3 linked regions of the Drosophila melanogaster genome follow. The protein of the gene in region 3 interacts with the protein of the main gene of each other region in a biochemical or structural test. Each region holds a gene or a part of one and is shown on either strand. Other genes may lie near its edges.

Evidence for each region. Proteins that work in one complex are often made in the same cells at the same time.
Region 1: of the proteins of deltaTry (region 3) and Rpn10, one has a biochemical effect on the other in vitro, tested with the Drosophila melanogaster proteins (one study listed by BioGRID).
Region 2: of the proteins of deltaTry (region 3) and Rad23, one has a biochemical effect on the other in vitro, tested with the Drosophila melanogaster proteins (one study listed by BioGRID).

The regions. Positions count from the first base shown.
Region 1 is NT_037436.4:21,533,095-21,539,618, reverse strand, and holds Rpn10 (regulatory particle non-ATPase 10), read right to left. Parts: upstream 2,620-6,524; 5' UTR 2,507-2,619; coding exon 2,481-2,506; intron 2,380-2,480; coding exon 2,239-2,379; intron 2,179-2,238; coding exon 1,155-2,178; 3' UTR 1,037-1,154; downstream 1-1,036. Other genes in the region: COX8 (cytochrome c oxidase subunit 8), read left to right, coding at 265-375, 452-547; ppk5 (pickpocket 5), read right to left, coding at 2,758-2,870, 3,422-4,007, 4,066-4,276, 4,329-4,589, 4,643-4,742, 4,806-4,959; Mkrn1 (makorin 1), read left to right, coding at 6,499-6,524. UniProt on the Drosophila melanogaster protein: Binds and presumably selects ubiquitin-conjugates for destruction.
Region 2 is NC_004353.4:304,137-311,858, reverse strand, and holds Rad23 (Rad23), read right to left. Parts: upstream 3,767-7,722; 5' UTR 3,636-3,766; coding exon 3,570-3,635; intron 3,447-3,569; exon of another isoform or gene 3,429-3,446; coding exon 2,780-3,428; intron 2,321-2,779; coding exon 2,226-2,320; intron 2,166-2,225; coding exon 1,842-2,165; intron 1,781-1,841; coding exon 1,670-1,780; 3' UTR 1,037-1,669; downstream 1-1,036. Other genes in the region: Syt7 (synaptotagmin 7), read left to right, coding at 6,683-6,843.
Region 3 is NT_033778.4:11,351,658-11,358,363, reverse strand, and holds deltaTry (deltaTrypsin), read right to left. Parts: upstream 3,046-6,706; 5' UTR 3,032-3,045; coding exon 2,270-3,031; 3' UTR 2,236-2,269; downstream 1-2,235. Other genes in the region: CG12384 (uncharacterized protein), read left to right, coding at 1-28, 93-248; iotaTry (iotaTrypsin), read right to left, coding at 863-1,621; CG13202 (uncharacterized protein), read left to right, coding at 1,892-2,037, 2,099-2,198; CG30025 (uncharacterized protein), read left to right, coding at 4,005-4,766.

The sequences.
Region 1 (6,524 bases), on a different chromosome or scaffold from region 3:
GCATTGTGACCATACCGACATTGAGTAACTTGATTGACTTAAATTTATTTCTAGGTTGTCAAGAACATTATTTTTAATCAATAAGGTATTTCTAAACAATTATCTGCACCTGAAACACCCTACATTTTCGTTTTGGCTTGCGATAGTTGTGTTTCGCGTAAGACCATCTCTAAAGAAAGGCGAATGACAAATCGTTAAGAAGAAGCATTCTAACCTTACAGCATTGATTTTACGCCAGCGTATTTTGCGAAAAAGTTTGTGAAAATGTTCCAAAACAGCGCTGCCCGCCTCCTGGTCCCCGCTATGCGTAGCGCCATGCAGAGCCGTTGCCAGTCGGTCGTCTCTGGACCTCCGACCCAGCGCATCTCCACCGCCGTAAGTTTGAGCTTGTTGCATAACCAGGATGTGATTCCCAAAGCGAAAAACTGATCCTTCACTTTTTGCATTACAGGAGAAGGTGATCCTCGGCGGCGGCATGTGCGCTGCATCCTTGTTCATTCCCGCCTGGGTGCTCTACCACATCCGGGACTACAAGGGCGACAAGTAATCTGCATACGAGACCACACATAGTTAATACGCTTGTAAAGTAGAGAGCATCAATATATCAATAGTGCCCCTGTTACGGGGAAATAAACTATAGTGCATTGAGCCACAAACTGATTTTATTATTTATCTATGGTCCAGCTGTAAATAAACGTGTGTCTGATATATGGTACTGACATTGTATAAAACGCAGTATGCCAGGTGTAAAGTGGACTCTAAAAGAGGCGGGCGGAATCCTTGATGTTTTAAATTCTTCCGTGTTTAACTTCAAAAACTGGCCAATGAGCTCAAGTTCATTTACTTTAAGTACAGAATCCAATTTATTTACTTTAACTAGAGTCGTGAGTGACAGATAGAAGAAGCATTATGCATATGCTTCCCTAATAAACATGCTTACCCGAGTCGACCGGCCACTATCAGGACTAGAAAATTATTTTTACTAGACATGCAGTGAATGAAAAGACCCTCGCAGTCAATTAAGTCAGCAGCAGATCGTGTGTATTTGTTTATATATTTTCACTTGAAGCATAATTTGAAAGACGGCTACAAATGATTTTAATGGGCATACAAATGCTTTAAACGAGCTTATTAGATATAATCATAGATGCGGTTTATTTTTTTTGCGAGTCCTTGCCGTCGCTCTTTTTGTCCTTGTCCTTGTTGAGTGAACCGACAGCATCGCGCACCGCCTCCGACTGGGGATCAACACCAGGCAGATTCTCCAGCACGCTCTGCAAGAAGGCCGGGTCTCCGATCACCTCCGAGTAATCCTCGTCCACGTCCATGGGAGCGTTTGCCTCGTCCGTCTTTGGGCGCTTTGCTTGCTGGGTAACAGAGTCGTCGGGAGCGTCCTGCATGGACATCTGCATAGCGAAGGCAATCTGTTCCTCCTCAGTCATGTTAGCAAAGTCCGGCAAGTTGTCCTCGGGTGTTTCGGTGGACAGGGCCAGGGCACGCTGCAGCATGGCCTCCTCGGTGTTGGCTTCGTTCTCTGCTCCGGCACTTTCTTCGTTTCCAGGTCCAGATCCCGAAACGCCGCCTCCGCCACCAGCATCTCCGCCAGTCGGTGGAGCCCCATCGGGATTGGCGCGACGTTGCTCGCTCTCCTGGCGCTGCCGTTGCTCCTCCATAGACACACGCAAGGCGAGAGCCAGTTCGGGGTCCTCGTTGGGATCTACACCGAATTCGAAGACGTTGCCGCCCAGGCCAGCTCCGCCCATGCCGTCCTCGCCCTGAATGATGGGTGACGACAGCAGGGCATCCGACAAAACTGATCCCCGAGGCACGCTGACCAAATGGGAGCCGGTGCCGTCCTTGCCATTAAGCGCGTTGATGAATGCTGTGAGAATCTCGTTGTTGTTGCCATGATCACCGAAGCTAACTATGTCTACGTTGACCTTCTCCTTCTTGAGGCGCTTGGCCTGCTTCACTAGATCGCCCTCCTCGTGATTGATGGGGGAGCCCACAAAGACCACGATGCGCATTTTGTGGTTCTTGCCTTGGCGATGCTTCAGCACCAGATGGGCAATTCGGATTCCGGTCAGGAGGTTTATCTCGCCCTTCGGCTGAACCAGATGCATCTTTGAGAAAATCCGTCCTGCATCGCTAGTAAGAGTGGCCAGCACTTCAACGGTGCTGAGGTATAAACAAAGACATAATGAATATGTGGCATGGGCACAAACGCTCCACACTCACTTGGACAGAGTCATCAGGCCCACATTGTTCTCGGGATTGGAACGCAGCTTGGTCAGGCAGACCAGATTGATGCCATCTCTCTGGACGATGAGACGAGTTGGAAAGTAGTCTCCGTTGCGCTGGAAGTCGCTGTTATCAAAGCTGGAAAAGAGCAAAATATGAGTGCCAGACTGTGTGCCGTTGCAAGCAGTACGGGAAAACTAGCGGAAGCTCTTCGTATTGCTCAAAAAACAATAATTTACCATATCATAGTACTCTCCAGAACCATTTTCGTATTTTTGCTTGTCACTTTGCCACTGAACTGTAATTCCCCAGGGTTGCCAGGTGCTGTGCTGCCTGAACTATCGGCATTAAAATATCGGATTTGTATGACCGTTGTGCGATATTTTTGTTTGATTATATTTACATATGTACATTCTTTTACATTTTTCTACACCAGTCCATTATTTAATGTTAGTCCTGTGGAAAAGTAATTTAGATTATGTAACACATTTAAAGTTGTTTATTTTATTTACTAATTCAGAATATTAATATAAGCAACAATGTTGAAACAAACAAAATGATGTATATTATCTCCGCAAGGAATATTACACTGAAACCAATCATTAGGCTCATGATTCCACCAGTTGACGCTGGAAAAGATACAAGGAAGATACAACGCTTTAGTCAACTGCCTTGAATTCTAAAACCATCTCTATATAAAAGTTGTATAATTTGTTTTTATCAATTTTGGATAAGCCTGAAGCTCTTTTGTATGGTACTAGGCAAAATCAAGCAAAAATATTTCCTTACGAGGTGACGAGTTACATACGTTATGTAACGACAAATAGTAATATTTGATTTGTATCAAATAAATTAACTCCTAAGTATGCAACTTTGAGCATAAAAATACCTTCTGATAAACGGTAATATTTGGATTTTTTAAGCAGATTGTGCATTACACACTCTCTTATTGTGCATTACACTCCGGGTGAACATCGTCACTACATGGACTGTTTTTATTAATCGACTTAAAATACCCCCTCGAGTTAAAAAAAAAAAAACATGGACGTTTATACTATCAGACGGACGGGCATCCCTGATAGACTCGGAATATTATCGGAATTGCAATTACTGTTCTAGTAACGATATAACAATAACGTAGAAAGTATTTAAGATCTAAAAAATTTAATAAATAGCATACCCATATATTCAGTGGGTCCGGTATACGAAGTCCTTACACTGCTCCTGAAATAGTTGTCGGTGTGAAAAAAGTTTACTACCGCCAAGTTTTTGCGCATGTATTCACTTGAGAAATTCGTCAAGTAGTTGGTCTGTGCCTTGACGTCCTTTTGGCTGAATGGAGTGGAAAATGCATCGGGAAAGAAAATTAGGTCGTGGCAGCTGGTCAGGCAAAACTCCTTGCACTGAGAGCTCTGTAGGTCGAAGATCTGGGACTCTGCCCGATTCAGACATTCAAAGTGGAACACATCGCACACTGAGGCGTTGGGATAAATTAGTGGTAGGTAGTAGGGAATACAACTGCAAAGTCTCAGGAAAAACATGGAGTCGCACTCGGCCTCGCAGTTTCGGCGCGTATAGTAGCGATAGAAGAGTAATTCCTGTTCGTCACTAAAAATACACTGGCGTTTCGTCCTGTGAATATTCCTTATAGAGGGTGTAGCCTCAACGTTTCTAGCTATGATGCGAAAACTCGTCTGGTGCCCAATCATCACAGGTAATCCTGACTCCTTCATGCGCGGCTGGTCTATCGGATTATACAGGAGTATCTGAAAGGTATCTGAAAGGTATAAGCTAGCTGGGCAAAAAGCGTACAACACAACTTACCTTAAAGCCCTGTCCGTTTGTGGAGGAGCAGAAATAGTCGTCCACGTGACCGTTGAGAACGATTTGCAGACCCATCGAGGTACCAACTCCAACTCCCGGACGCGGATAGTAACTTGAGGGTAGTCTCTGTGGGTAGCCAGATATTGGATCCCAGTCCACGGCGATATCTGCAAACCTGTCGGACGAAGTGAAGTCCCGAATGTAGGGCGATCTTTAAATGAGTAAGTAAGTTATTCGTTCTTTTGACCTTCGTTGAACCCTACTTGAACTTATAAAGATAATACGGATGCAAGACATTAAATATGCAGCACAATCCTTCATCCACGAAAGTTTCTCTAAAGATGTCAGTGCAGGGTATCCTTTGTTGATGAAATATGCAGGATACTATCAGATCTGCACACTTCTCGGAAACATCCAATATGAAATTTGAGAATGTTTCATTTCTGTGCTGAGTATCCATGTATTGCGAGAAATTTGACTCCTTATAGCAGGTCTTTTGAAGCATGGCGTATCTTATGGAGCCCCTAATAGAGTTTATTATATAATTGGGTTTCCATGGGACTTGAATGATACTTACGGCATTAAATGCTCTACTTTCGACTTTTTAGCCTGGTTCATATTGCAAACCGTTATGGTTGGAAACGGAATTTGATCAATGGGAGTCATCTTAGAGCTAACTTTAAAGTAAGATTAAAATGTATTCATATCCCTAAAAGTAATATATGTTATGATTTATATACTTCCAATAATAACTGGTGTGCTGTCCCACTTATTGTAAATTCCAACCGCCAAGTTCACGGCCACAAAAAGAACCAAGGCGAATATGATGGCGAAGTAAAGCTTTATCCACCAAGAATAATTATTATCACTAATAACGTACTTAAGCATTTCCATTGACGTATTTCTTAGGAAACTTTTTCCCCTTTTTCGGCTAACGCTTCGAATTTTTCCATGGAATTTCTTTATCAAGCGCATGGTCTGGTTTTTAGAAGAATTTTATGAATACTGTTCACCTGAGTTGGCCCGAATAACTTCTAATTACTTCAGATTGCCTGTAATAGCCTTAATTTACGTTAGAAATGGTATCTTATTTAGTTTCAAAGTCAATTAGAGCGTTACTGCTACACAGCAAATATGTTCAGGTACATTTGATAGTCAGATAAATTTTATATTCACACAAGCGGAATTATTACATTGAGATAATGTCAGATAAATAAATATAGATATTAAAGCTTTAGAACGTTACAACTACGTTATATCCTCCGTTAAATCCTCTCCATCTGTTCACTAACAGAATTTGACCACGTATCATTTATAAATTTTTTCGAGTGAAGTTACGCTGCGCTCCTGTCATTGCCGCGTCATTATTAGGAGCAATTATTTATACAATATACATACAAATGGTATACCCTTTAACACTAATTAAATAAATAGCCGGGTGGAAATAAATCCTTTTGATTAGTAAACTGCTTTCTAAGCTTTGATAGAATGGGGGAGTAACACTGTAAATCTTATTATTAAATATTATCTTACATCATTATGCCCGTTACTCGTAAATAAGAAGGCTTAGTAGATTCGTTATGTATGTAGAAGGATTAAGATGAAGATTATTGCTACGCCAATTCTAACGGCCCAAAACCGTTACGCCTTTCTGTCCAGTTTGATATTCTGTCTATTGATATGCCAAAAAAATTAAAAAATTTCTCGGGTATCTGATAGTCGAATAAAACGTTCTCTTCTGTTGTCGTTTTCATTCTTTTGTTCCTTTCCCAGAATTCCTAGTAAAATTTAAAAAGCGTTCGAACATTCAAACAGTAAACGGTTTGTTGTGCGTGTGATTTTAGTCTTCAATGGCTTTGGTCACACTGCGGAAAAAAATTGTGAATGTGATCCAAGGTGCATAAAACGACAAAGTAAGAAACTGTGAGTGCTGTGGACATTAAACCAGCTTCGATTTCAAGAAGTCGCACTCCCTGAAAGCAAGCAGGTAATGTAAAACATTCATCGCGTGCGATGCAAGGGTTATTTTGAAGTGCGGGATCGCAACGTTCATATGCGTACAGGAATCCTCGCACTTGCATACATACTTACATTGCATATTTCACTGATGCTAAGGGGATATTTGAAATGCAAAAGGTGTCACGAGTGCATTTCGTGTGCTTTCCTGCTAAGGATTGCGGAAACTCCCGAACAACTGTGGTTTAAGGGTACACGGGCTCTGTTTGCCGAATCTGCGTATGTACGCAGTGGCTGTGTCTGTAGGTATGTTCGTTTGGGGGTAAGAACGCTTGAGACTGGAGGTCACATTTTCCTGAATTTACCCATTTTGCCTAGCGTCAATCGCTAACCCCTCGCCTTTGCTTTCAGGTCATCAGGTCCAGACTTGTCAGTGATTTGAAAACCCGAAAACCCTTTTGCGATCATCGTAGCGAAATGAGTGCCGTCACCAGCAGCGATAC
Region 2 (7,722 bases), on a different chromosome or scaffold from region 3:
TTCGTTGCCATTCCGAAACCTGATCTCGATTCTCTTCTCCTTGGGCACAATCGACAAAATTTGGTAAAATGTTCAATTACTTGTAGCATGGATTTGTTTCAAATTAGGATAAATTGTTTTCCCTTTACATATATACAATCTTATAATATTTTGTATCTTTTCACCGCGTAGCATCTTACTAATACTTCCAAAATCACTAGGTTGCGTCATATCGATATGAGAAAGTGTACATCAATCCGGTAGTTTGTGTGTAAACACCACTCTATCGTTCTAACTTTTTGATTTGTCGTTAGATAAGCTGTGAAGCTTGTCTTTCGTCGTTGCCAGACCATTTCCACATAAATGTGTATGTTTTCACTTTATATGTATGTCACTGTGGTCGGCAGTCCTATTCGTGTCAATGGTCACCAAAGAGTTTCTATACTACAATTTTGAGCTTAAAGATTTGTCATTAACACAGTCAAACCAAAGACACTAGAATAACGTTATTTGTGGTCCGGTGGGTATGCCCATGTTTATAAAGTTAATTCGACCCAGTCTAAAGTTCTGGAACGTGTCAAGGAAAGAAGTATTAACGAGTGCTTCTCTTTCCACTTACCTGCGTTCTACCAAATCTACCAATAATTCTTGTGTCTTTGAATCTACATTGAGTCAGGAAAGATTTATAATTGTAGCAACATTATAGAGGGGACCATAGCCATACATGAAACTATTAGAGATTTATTAATATTAAAGTGTAGAATTCTTTGCATTAATAATGCATATTACAATGTTCGAGTTTTATATTTGTCGTATTAATTGGCAAGCAGAAAAGTATCATAAGTCCAAATGTTCTACAGTTTTGTATATTTGTAAATTAATGATAATCTAAGTACTGTAAAACTGGAGAACATTTATTCCTGTAAAAATAAGCAATAAAAAATATTTATAAAAATTTTAATTAGTTTTTTCGTGAGTAAAGGGTATCTGATAGTCGAGGCACTCGACTATAGAATTGTTATGAATGTCATGCAATTAATGAAATTGTTTTATTTCTCCGACTCATCCTGAAAGGAATCACCAAAGAGACGCCACAGCTTATTAGGGCATAATTGCGGACATTATTTACAATAAAAAAACACGAAATTTATGTAATACAATGATTAATATATTTTAGTCATATGTCCAACATCCAGGACGACAAAAAGTACTTTATGTGTTAAGTGACTTAATTGTGGACTCCCACTAGTCAAAAAAATATTTTATAAATCAACCAAGATAAGGAAAGAATAAATCATAAGACTTCTTTAGCTTAATACGACCTTAAAATAATTAATGTGTGTATTGCATATACACTAGAAATACACACACTAGAAATATACTTTGCCATCCATTAGGTGAAGGCCTAATCCAAGGCCTCCCTACCATGGATTGGCACAGATAAATTTGTAGACATTTGCAGTCTTATGCTGAAGACAATGTCGTGGTGAAATATTTAGTAAAAATGACATCGTAACTCTATTTTACCCATGGCTGCAATTTTTAACAAATAACAAGTACAATACGCCGACGGTATTAAAAGAATATAAAAGAATTTTTATGATCGACATTTTACATTTAATTTAAGAACATCTAACTTTAAATGTAACGCTTCCGGTGTTATTTGCATAACTTCTTACATTTTGTCATCCTAATCATCGAAGCTAGACGATAGCAAAAAATTAGCTGCTTGTTCCTCGTTCTTTTCACAAGCGAAGTACGCTTGCAGTACAAGGGCCTCTGGGAATCCAAGAGCTTTTAGCTAGAAGAAGAATATATTAAGTAACTCGACAGTCCATATATAATTATTCACTCCTATATACCCGTTCTATTGCGTCCTTATCTTGGCGATTTAAACGAATGGTTGATACTCCTAAAGGTTGTTCCAAGTCTTCGTTATCCGCTGCGCTACCGCTTTGATGTGCTGCACTTGTACCCGCGGCTGATCTTTGTGCTGAAGTAGCTACTTCTAAATCTGGAGAAAAGAGGTCAACATTGTCCAAAGTTGAAGGAATCCGCGCATTCGAAACGGGAGGAACGGTGGCGCCTGACTCCGATTCGCGGTCAATCGGTTGATTAAGCATATTGAGAAACGCATCTTGGTTCTCCGAAATAAGTTGTAAAAGGGCTGGGTTTGTCTGACCAATCTATACGTAAAAAAAATTATCATTTACGTGTCATGTAATTATTATTATAAGTGTACTTACCTGCTGCAATACTGCATGCAAAAGATGAGGGTTTTGATAAATTAAAGATCGCATTTGAAGAAACTGTGGCTGGCTACGTAAAAATTCAAAGGGGTCTGAAACGTAAATATAAATAATTAAATAATAATTAAATTAACTAAAAACATATAGTGATGCCCTGTCCTTGAAGAGAATAGTGACAAAAATTCGTGAATTATCGCTCCTTTAGTGTCTGTTGACATATATATGTAAATGATACTGCGGGACAACGAGCTCACAAACATTTTAGTGAATCTTTAACAGCTGCATATATTTCCAGTACTAAGAGAACTCTTTTATTATTTATTAACGAATGTGCAACATAAGTTTTGATCAACAATATTTCTTGACCAGGAAAACTAACGCAATTATGTTAAGGCCGTATAATTTCATTAAAGAGCGAGAGCCAAATCGGGTTTATTAATTTCACTATGTTTTGAAGTGTGCAAATTTAGTACTTCTGGGTAGAAATTATATATTTTCGTTTCATACAAGAATACATAAATTGACTGCTGATTGAAATCCCATCAAGTTACCTGAATTTGATTCTGTTGAACGCTCGGCAGAGGTTGCCGACGCAGGTTGCGGTCCGGAGGGGATTAGACTAGGATTCGTTGATTCATTCAGCCTATTGTAAAAAGTACCTTCCTCTGCAGGTATGCCATTAATGAGATATTCAACGGCTCTTTCCGGGTTGTTATAACTAGCAGCCATCGCACGTTCAACCTGCTCTCTTGGGTAACCCATTTCCACCATTGATAGGACTGTTTGGTTGTATTCGTCACCCATAAGCAAATTAGATTCAGCGCGCGATTGTAAGGAAGCCTGGGCCAACTCGCCAATCAATTCGTCACTAGATAAAGGTCTGGTTTCACGTGATAAAACTGAATCTTCTGTATTTGTGGAACTAGGCGAATTGGTATGGTTGGCTTCTTCGCAAGGCATAGATTGCTTTGAATCGTCGGTGCTAGTCAATTTATTACTTTCTTTTACACTAAGTTGATTACGATTTGAACTAGACGAATCGCGTGTCAACATTACCACAATGAACTTTTTTTCATCAACGTTGTATGAACCAACGGTGCGGTCATCCGTCAATATGACGCCAGCGTAGATCAGTTTTTGTTTTTCGGCGACGTACTCTGGACCGCGCTCCTCGAATATTTTCTTCTTCAGTTCCAAAACCTTTTGTAATCAGAATCCCTGCTTATTATGGTACAACAAATTAATTGTAAGAAATACCTGTATAAGCACACATATGCATTTGCAATAATTGTATATACCATACATGTGAATATACTAGTATTTGACTATTTGTACACATACCGTTTTTTCCGGGGCAAACTCAATAGTAAAAGTTTGCTGTTGAAGATTTTTAATTGTAATAATCATCTTGTGTATCAGACAAAACCAAAACTTAATTAAATATACATATGCATACACATATGCAAACTCGAAAGTTAGTTCCCAATATCGCTTGATAAAAACGATTTGTCATCAGTGTGACCGCACATGGACTGGCAAATTATACCTTCTCGCTTAAAAGACACAAAATCGCAGCACAAACCAAAGAGTTCAATAGTCCTTATAACATTTTCACACATCAAGAAAGATGTAAAGATTTGTAATGAAATTTATAATGAAATATGAAATATTGAAGTCATAATGAACGTAACAAATAAACAATTGTCCGTGGTTTGACTGTAGTTAGTATTTCATTATATCAACGATTTAGATCATACTATATACAGGTTATACCTGTAGTATATAAGTCTATTTATAATATACCATCGGTTGATGATCAATAAATTTCAAAGAAATTTAATTTTTAATTCCGTTTAAGTAGTTCGGTATTTCTTTAAAAATACTTTAGTTTAACCAAAGACACTAGAATAACAAGATGCGTAACGGCCATACATTGGTTTGGCACTATGCAGCCACTTCTTTGGTGACTGCCAAAATTACTCTCTTTCCGCTCACTCCCGCTGAGAGCGTAAGAAATCTAAAAATATAATTTGATTGCTTGTGTGAGTAAAAACAAGAGACGAGAACGCGTATAAGTGTGCGTGTTGTGCTAGAAGACGATTTTCGGGCCGAAATCAATTCTGATCGAAGAAACGAATTTACATGGTACATATTAGGGTAGTTTTTGCCAATTTCCTAGCAATATGATAAAATAAAAAAATTTTTAAAAATTCGCGCCCTGACTATTATAATTTTAAAGCTTTTTAAATTTGTTTGTTAAAATCGCCGCTCGAATTAGCTACCGTTTACACATTTATATTTATGTTTAATTCTAATTTGTCTCTCATCTGACAATTTTTTAAAAGAGAAATTATTTTTTTAAAACACTTTTAATGTTAATGTTACATCATATTAAGTCAAATGATTTAATAAATATACTAAATAATTAAATATGATAACTGTTTATTGCAAAAGTAATATCAAAGTAATATACTAGAATAATTCTAATGCTTTGTTCATATCTTGAGGCACGAAGTGCGGACACAAGCACTCAACAATCATTGCCTTATTAATTTTTCACACGCCGCAAGATGAATACTCTAATGACAAATATTCTTATATAAAGTCATTTTTGAAATTTATTTTTGTGATAATATGTACATAGATTTGGCTATTTCTGATATATTTTCAAATAATAATAACGTTAAGGCAATGCAAAACAAGAATTTTTCGCATGGTGCCAATTGATCAAAAATAATATAGATTTAAAGTCTAAAAACTTCTGAGGTGAAGGGCATATTTTGTCAAATTTACAATGCATGAGCATACGTGTGCACACATACAGATGTCTCCTACCACTTTGTGCGTTGAAAAGAGCTGTTCGCTGTAGCGCTCTTCGCTCTCTCGCTCTCAAACAAAAATTCGAGAGAGCCTGGAGCCACCTCTAGAGCCACGGCCAAAAAATCGTGTGCCAAAAAATCGTATGGCGTTACGCATCTTGTTATTCTAGGGTCTTTGGGCAAACCAATGTATGGCCGTTACGCATCTTGTTATTCTAGTGTCTTTGGTAATACCGTATTCCTTTCAAAAGATATACATCAATGCTTATCTTCTGTCTTGTGAACATATATGATTTGAGTTCATATAAGATTAACGAAAATTTCGAAATTAAGATAACTATTGCTGTATCATCAGTGGGGTGTTTAAATGTAGTAAATATCGAGAATTTTAAAAGATACAATTTCAAAAATGACAAATGTGTTAATTCTAAATAATTGTATATACCATAAAAACAAAAAATAAAAATTTGCTGTTGAAGATTTTTAATTGTAATAATAATCTTGTGCATTAGACATTTGCAAAGAATAATACAAAAAATACACGAATGCATTGTTTTTCCACTTATCAATTAATAATAATAAATAAGTGTATTCATGTGAATTAATTTCATTTCTTGTGTTAGCATCAGATTTTCATTTCTTCGTGCACTCTCTCCTAGCTTTCTTTTTAACCGTGACATATCGGGATCTGCCAAGAAAACTATTTGATGACAGGATCTAGAGGAAGTAAACAATTCGATGCACTTGTCAAGGTAGAATAAGGATGGCTGTATTCAGAACTCTTGTCAGTTATTATCCCCCTAAGTTCCGATTTTGGGAATTCCTAATGAGTAGCACAACAAAATTGGCTGCACTCAGCCACAATTATATTTTGGTAAATGTTTCAAAGTACTCCGTATTATAACTCGTACCTATGTATATGCATACATATACTAGTATTTTCAATGACATGCGCACAGAGTCGAGCTTTTCATGCAAACGAGCTCTTATAAAAAAATGTATTCGACGTGTTTTCATTGGCATAAGTAGCTCGATATTAACTTAAACGACATATTGTTTTAGGAATAAAGTAGTTTTAAAGTAAAATACAGTTTTTGCCGTTATTTAAATTCAAAGGAAAGACTCAAATTTGTAATAACAACACGCAATCTAATAAGACAGTGTAAAAACATAGAGTACTGTAACAATTATACTGAATGTTGGATTAGTTTGGTTTGCTTATTTCTTAATTGGGATCTCCGGCACCTGCAACCTTTATGACAGCGAACTAAACAAATAATAATGTTTTGGACCAAGTTTTATGAGATTTACATAAGTCAAACATAAAACAATGTGTACTCCTTTAAAAAGAAAGCCATTAAATAACAATATTATATGCTCTACATCTTAAAGTGCGACATAGTTTATACTGTGGTGGTACTGTGGTATAAAAAATAAACAAATAAAAATAAGTTGGGTGTTGTTATTATATATTATTATACACCTTAGTTACAGAAAGTTACGTTCTTATCTGCATGAAATAAATATGTATGCCCGAAGATATTATATCTTACATAATCGATTTCTTTGTTATTTACTTGAATTAAGATTCGAATTGTCGTAAAAAAATTACACATACTTCTCACTATTACAGACATGGCAAGCATAGTACTTATAGCTTGCTTGGCTATATTGGGATTAATTATTACAATCGCTCTTTTTCTGGCTGGAGGATACTTGTGGTGGAGGCATAAAAGATCACAGTTACAGTTTATTGAACCAAATGAAGATGAGGAATCTAGTAGTTATAGTCTTCGGTAAGTATTTGCATTTCCTGTTTAGTATATGACTTTATATATTTCATGGGGACAGACATTCGACTCTTAACAAGCGATAGAGGATCTATTTATGTCTATGACTGTATATTATCAACGATTTTGAGTATGCAGTATTTCTAAATTGTCCTATTCATTTGACTTTTTTATAAATACGTTAGTTGAGTACCCTCGGAATATTTAGAATATTTATATATCATGCTCTGCAATATATAATAATATATAATTATAATTTAGCTACAAAAAACCAACATTTTTGAGTTGTATGCAGTTTAATGAAACATCATAATTTATAGCTTATTATCGGATGATTGATTGGCAAATACAAAATTTTAACGTTAAAATATTTTATTCTTCTGTAACGGGAACCAATCGATATAAATTGCTAATTATGCCCGTTACTTGTAGATTAAAAGGGTATAGTAGATTCGATGAAAAGTAAGTAACAGGTAGAAGGAAGCGTTTCCGACCATATAAAGTATATATATTCCGTCTGTCCGATCTCGATCCCAGGAACTATAAAAGCTGGAATGTTGAGATTATGCATGCAGTTTCCAGAGACAAATGTTGCCAAGCCCACACTACCGCCCGTCGTATTTTCATACGTTTATTAGTTTTGTAAATTTCTATTAAATTGCCAACTTCATGCTACGCCCACTCTAAAGCCCACAACCATCCCAAAACTGCCACGCCGACACTTTTAAAAAATGTATTAATGAATTTTCATATTTTTGCTAGTCTCGTAAATTTTTATTCACATTTTGAAAAATGTTTTAATTTTGTGGCGTGGCGACATCAGGAAACAATATTGAGCTGTGCCTATGTCTCTGGAATTTACATGCTTAGTCTCAACTGTCTATC
Region 3 (6,706 bases):
GGATGCAGAGGATTGTACTGGACTGACAGTGAGCTATTGACATAAGTATGTGGTTTTCAATGGAAACTAACTTATCCTCTAATCCTTTAAAGCAACCCATTGCCGTGAACTCCGGCTCTGTGAGCGGTGCCCCCGTCAAGGGCAACACGGACTTTACGCCCGCCTCCGCCCAGGTGGCCCACTCGCCCAAGCCACCGGCTGCAGTGCAGCAGAAGCCCCAGATCCACATCCAGCAGCCACGGAAGTGATGCGTACTCGGGCGGAATAACTATTATCATTATCTAATCTCTTTGATCTTTTGTTGAAATTCTATGAGTCCTCTCAATGGTATTGAAATCGCCTTTGAATGCGATATTTACTCTTTAATTTTATATATGCATTTGCCACTGCATTCCATAAATTAAAAATGCTGATTTTCTGAGTTAATATTTTGTAATAAACTTTATCCCTTTTATAGATTTCAAGACATTCGTTTCGAATGCGTATATCTTAAATTTTTACCTAAACCAACTCGTGGTGTTCCTGGTGAGCTTGGATGCGATAAAACATTGACCAAAGAAGACATATAACACTATACATGAAATTCGTGATTTCCGATGTTATCTATATTGCCCTCAGATCTACTGGAATTTGCTCTACACGTACTCTTAAAATTCCCAAGTGCTTATTCAGCACAACGTGTATATAATTAGGGAAACTCTAGCACACTAAATGCCCCACTGAACTTCGGTGGTCCGGGGTGCGGACTTCAAATCCGTAGTCGATTTGCGTCGAAGTGGTTCGATTCCACCTGGGGGGCGAATATTAATGGAGTTGCATTCTTAAACTTTTTTAAGCATGGTCTTTATTTTCCAAAATCTGTTCATATGGCATTGGCCGCCTTGACTATCCAAGGTCGCAGAATCGCCACATCGGCATAGACACCGGGGTAGTTGTCGTCCGCACACCGGTAACCCCAGGATACAATGCCCACCAGCTGGCTACTGGCCACCAAAGGACCTCCAGAGTCTCCCGTACAGGCATCTGCATCAGTGCTGGCAGCGCAAATTGTTTCCTCGCCCACAAAATCCGCACCGTAGCCAAACTTTTGCGAGGCACACTCTCCGCGATCGATGATCTGCAACTGGGCCTTCTGCAAGCTATCGGAGAGGGCTCCATTATCAGTGTGGCCCCAACCCGTGACAGTGACTGTTGTTCCACCCGATGGACTCGTACTGGCTAAATTGATGGCTCTCGTTGAGAGGCCAAAGGTCAGTGGTGTGGACAGACGAAGCACGGCAATGTCGTAGTGCAGGAAGCGGGAATCAAACTGCTCGTGGACTTTGTACGCCGCCACAGGAACCAATGTGCCGCCGTAGTTGTGATTCTGTGCACCCACACGCACCTTCATCAGCGTCACGGATCTCTCATGTAGACAGTGTCCGGCTGTGATGATGATCTCCTTGCTATAGATGACTCCGCCGCACTCGTGGCGCGCACTGATCTGAATAGACACCTGCCAGGGGGCGTTACGAATCAGCTGATCGCTTCCGCCAATAATTCGTCCAGTGGCCTCGACATCTGACGCATCGCCGAGCAGCAAAAGGACCAGCACCGTAGCCACTATTCCGTAAACAGCCATTCCGAAAGCCAAGTGCAAACTGCTCGTATTTGTCCACGAAACCCCTTCATGGCGTGCTTTTTACTAGGGCTGTAAAAGTTAATCTTCGGCTAATTGATGGCTTATCGTTAGTATATATTACTGATACCCTTGATTGGTCTTGGTCAGCACTGCTCCTTACCCGGTTCTCTAGTTCGATATGAAAACACGTTGCCCAGGCAACTATTGCCAAACAAATTTATTTAGATGTTGTGAATATCGAAAAAAGGACTTTTGAGAGATAATACCGACATGGATAACTGGAAGATAACCGCGGAGGAGCTTATCCGTCTGCGGGAGAGCTGCTTGCAGTGCATCCGTGATGGAGAACTCTATGAACTGCGCAACGATGCCAAACTTAGGGCTGTTTATAGCACTCAGAACTACGAAGAATTCAAGTAAGCAATACAAATAAACATGTCTCAAATTGAAAAATGCATGTAAGCCAATTGCCATCAGGAACATAGTGGATGCGGCTCATCTTCGTCCAGTGACCAAGGGCGACAAGGCGAATTTTAAGACGAAGAATCGACTATGGAACTCGGCGGCCCGGGATTAATTTGTTAATTGCGCAATAAAAATAAAAGACCAAGTTTATAGTCAGAATATACGTTTTATTTCGCACACTTTTTAGGCATTGCTAATAACCCAGGAGCGGAGGGCAGCAACATCGGCATAGACACCGGGGTAGTTGGAGTAAGCGCATCCGTATCCCCAGGAGACAACACCGACGAGGACTCCGCCGGAGACCAGTGGGCCACCGGAGTCACCCTGGCAGGCATCCTTGCCGCTGGCAGCAGCGCAGATCATGGTGCTGCGGATCTGGCTACCGTATCCGTAGGTGGAGGAAGCACACTGGCTCTGGCTAACGATGTTCACGTTCACGTACTGCAGCTGGGAGGGGATGGAGCTGGATCCGTAGGAGAGAGTGCCCCATCCGGAGACGGAGGCCGCAGCGCCGTTGGCGGGGTTGGAGCTAGCCAGACCGATGGCCTTGATGGTGGAGCTGAAGGTCAGGGCGCCGTTGATCTTGATGATGGCAATGTCGTTGACCATGGTGTTGGCGTTGTAGCCCTCGTGGTTCTTGAAGGAGGACACAGAGAAGGTGACACCGCCGGAGCTCCAGTAGCTGGATCCAGCACGGATCTGCAGGACGGAAGCGGACACGGACTGCAGACAGTGAGCGGCGGTCACGATGACGTTGCTGGAGTAGATGGATCCACCGCAGGAGTGGCTTCCACTGCGCTGCAGGGAGATCTGCCAGGGGAAGCTGCTGATGGTGGTAGCAGAGCCGCCGACAATGCGGCCATCCAACTGAGGCAGGAGTCCCTCAGGGACGGTGCCTCCCAGGGCGCAGGCTACTGCAGACAACAAGATCACGAACTTCAGCATGGTGCGAATCCAATGAGTTGACTCTAAACTGGACACCCCTTTTATACAGGGACCTATCTCTTTGTGGCGCTCTTATCATAAATTTCAATTATTTTTATCACTTGCTTGTCAGGGAAATCCAAAATATTTTTTAAATGTGTGACCGACAAATAGATTTCGCGAATAAGAAGTATATACGTATACAAAGTCCAGATTCATGCCAAACGATTTTTTTTTGCAATAAGTTGGTCATTTAAATAGCTTGAAAAAGATAGTCACATAAAGATATCGGGGTTTAAACGAAATTAAAACAATTTATATTTCTATAAACAATTTATTGTGTTTTAAATAAACAGACACCATAATTTTTTAAAAGAAATTATATAACTTATGAGAAACATCATGAGCATTACTAGAAAACAATGCAATTGAACGCATAATCATGTAATTAAAATTAATGCAAAGGCGATTAAATTGTTCTTAAAATTAATGGTTTTACAAAATTCACAAATTAAAATGCTAAACAGTTATTTTCTTTTAAAAAGCCAATAATATTAATAGTTATGCACACAATTATGTATAATAATTGGATTAGATTAGAACTAAATCAAGTTGAATGACAAGCATCCACTTTTAAAAAATTCCACAATGTTATTGTACAAGTTTAATCCCCTATTTAAATATGTAAGTCGAAAATAGACGTTCCCATCAATACCTTGCAAAAATTAAATATAATAAAAAGAAAGCGAATTATTTAGAAAGGTAATATAAAAGTAGTTACACTTTCCTCGCATTTTTATTTATTTTTGTGATAAAGAGCCGTGCGACTTCTGAGTTGTGGAATATCATTTGGGCACTTCAACGGTATTATTTGGGTTTTCCTGACACGCAGGTGATAAAAATAATTGAAAGTTGTGATTATAGTGCCAAGAACAGATTGGAAACTCGTATAAAAGGGGTGTCCAGTTTAGAGTCAACTCATTGGATTCGCACCATGCTGAAGTTCGTGATCTTGTTGTCTGCAGTAGCCTGCGCCCTGGGAGGCACCGTCCCTGAGGGACTCCTGCCTCAGTTGGATGGCCGCATTGTCGGCGGCTCTGCTACCACCATCAGCAGCTTCCCCTGGCAGATCTCCCTGCAGCGCAGTGGAAGCCACTCCTGCGGTGGATCCATCTACTCCAGCAACGTCATCGTGACCGCCGCTCACTGTCTGCAGTCCGTGTCCGCTTCCGTCCTGCAGATCCGTGCTGGATCCAGCTACTGGAGCTCCGGCGGTGTCACCTTCTCTGTGTCCTCCTTCAAGAACCACGAGGGCTACAACGCCAACACCATGGTCAACGACATTGCCATCATCAAGATCAACGGCGCCCTGACCTTCAGCTCCACCATCAAGGCCATCGGTCTGGCTAGCTCCAACCCCGCCAACGGCGCTGCGGCCTCCGTCTCCGGATGGGGCACTCTCTCCTACGGATCCAGCTCCATCCCCTCCCAGCTGCAGTACGTGAACGTGAACATCGTTAGCCAGAGCCAGTGTGCTTCCTCCACCTACGGATACGGTAGCCAGATCCGCAGCACCATGATCTGCGCTGCTGCCAGCGGCAAGGATGCCTGCCAGGGTGACTCCGGTGGCCCACTGGTCTCCGGCGGAGTCCTCGTCGGTGTTGTCTCCTGGGGATACGGATGCGCTTACTCCAACTACCCCGGTGTCTATGCCGATGTTGCTGCCCTCCGCTCCTGGGTGATCAACAACGCCTAATTATTTTTCGAAATAAATCATATATGAACAGTTTATGACGGTCGTCAGTTTATTTTAAAAGATGGTCTTAGTTAAAAATCAGGACACAGGGTTCACATTTTTAGATGGTAATGACTGTTCGAGTGCAATGACTATTAGATATAGTGAGTTGTGCAAGCAGTAAAGGGACTGCTTTTAGGACTATGGAAATTGATTGATTGGATTTAACTATCCCCATATTCTGTTAGAATGCCCTAAGGATTATTAGCGTGATTGGAATTGTAAACAACTAGGCATTATTAAGAAGCAAACTTGCGCAATGTAGTCGTAAATAAAACATGCATTTTTAACTACAACTTTAAAGCTCTATTAGTTTTCCAAGACTGTACGTTAGGCGGATAGGGAAATCTAGATCATGATCAAGAAGAATATGAATTTTATAGGCTCGATACGCATCATTCTACATAAGACTTACTTTATAACGATATATTCGTAACCATTTTATTTTTATACTCTTTACTCGTAGAGTAAAAGTGTATAATAGATTCGTTTAAATGTATCTAACAGCTACAAGTTAGTGTTTCCAATCATATAATGTACATATATTCTTGATCAGGATCGATAGCCCCATCCGTCTGTCGAGTTCTTAGCAACTATAAAAGCTAGAAGCTTGAGATTAGGCATACAGATTCTAGAGACATAGACCCATATTTCCCCTCCCACAATTTTGAAAAATATTTTGATTTTTTTCACATTTTTATTGTTTTGTAAATTTGTATCGATTCGCCAAAAATATTTTTGCCACGCCCACTCTAACGCCCACAAACCAATCAAAACTTTTTTTTCATTCATTCATTCATTCATTTCATTCATTAATTTCATTCATTCATTTCATTCATTAATTTCATTCATTCATTTCATTCATTAATTTCATTCATTCATTTCATTCATTCATTTCATTCATTTCATTCATTTCATTCATTTCATTCATTTCATTCATTTCATTCATTTCATTCATTTCATTCATTTCATTCATTTCATTCATTTCATTCATTTCATTCATTTCATTCATTTCATTCATTTCATTCATTTCATTCATTTCATTCATTTCATTCATTTCATTCATTTCATTCATTTCATTCATTTCATTCATTTCATTCATTTCATTCATTTCATTCATTTCATTCATTTCATTCATTTCATTCATTTCATTCATTTCATTCATTTCATTCATTTCATTCATTTCATTCATTTCATTCATTTCATTCATTTCATTCATTTCATTCATTTCATTCATTTCATATCATTTCATTCATTTCATTCATTTCATTCATTTCATTCATTTCATTCATTTCATTCATTTCATTCATTTCATTCATTTCATTCATTTCATTCATTTCATTCATTTCATTCATTTCATTCATTTCATTCATTTCATTCATTTCATTCATTTCATTCATTTCATTCATTTCATTCATTTCATTCATTTCATTCATTTCATTCATTTCATTCATTTCATTCATTTCATTCATTTCATTCATTTCATTCATTTCATTCATTTCATTCATTCATTTATATCATTCATTCATTTCATTCATATCATTCATTCATTTCATTCATTCATTTTCACTGTGGAGTTTCTATCGATATGCCAGAAGAAAGATGCTAGTTCGTTCACCCTGACACTAGCTGAGTAACGAGAGTATCTGATAGTCGGGGAACTCGAATATAGCATTCTCTTTTGTTAAAGAGTAAGTTCGGTTAACATAAGTTAAACTATGTAGTAATTGATCGAAAACGGGTACCTCAACAAATTACCTTTAATTTATTAAAATGATTTAAACCATTATTAACCTCCCGACAGAAATCTAGGTGTTTGTTATTTTTCAGGAGGTGAGAATACATTTTTTAGAAGGTTTCCTTTCCCATTTGCTGAATAAGACACATTACTGTTGAATCAG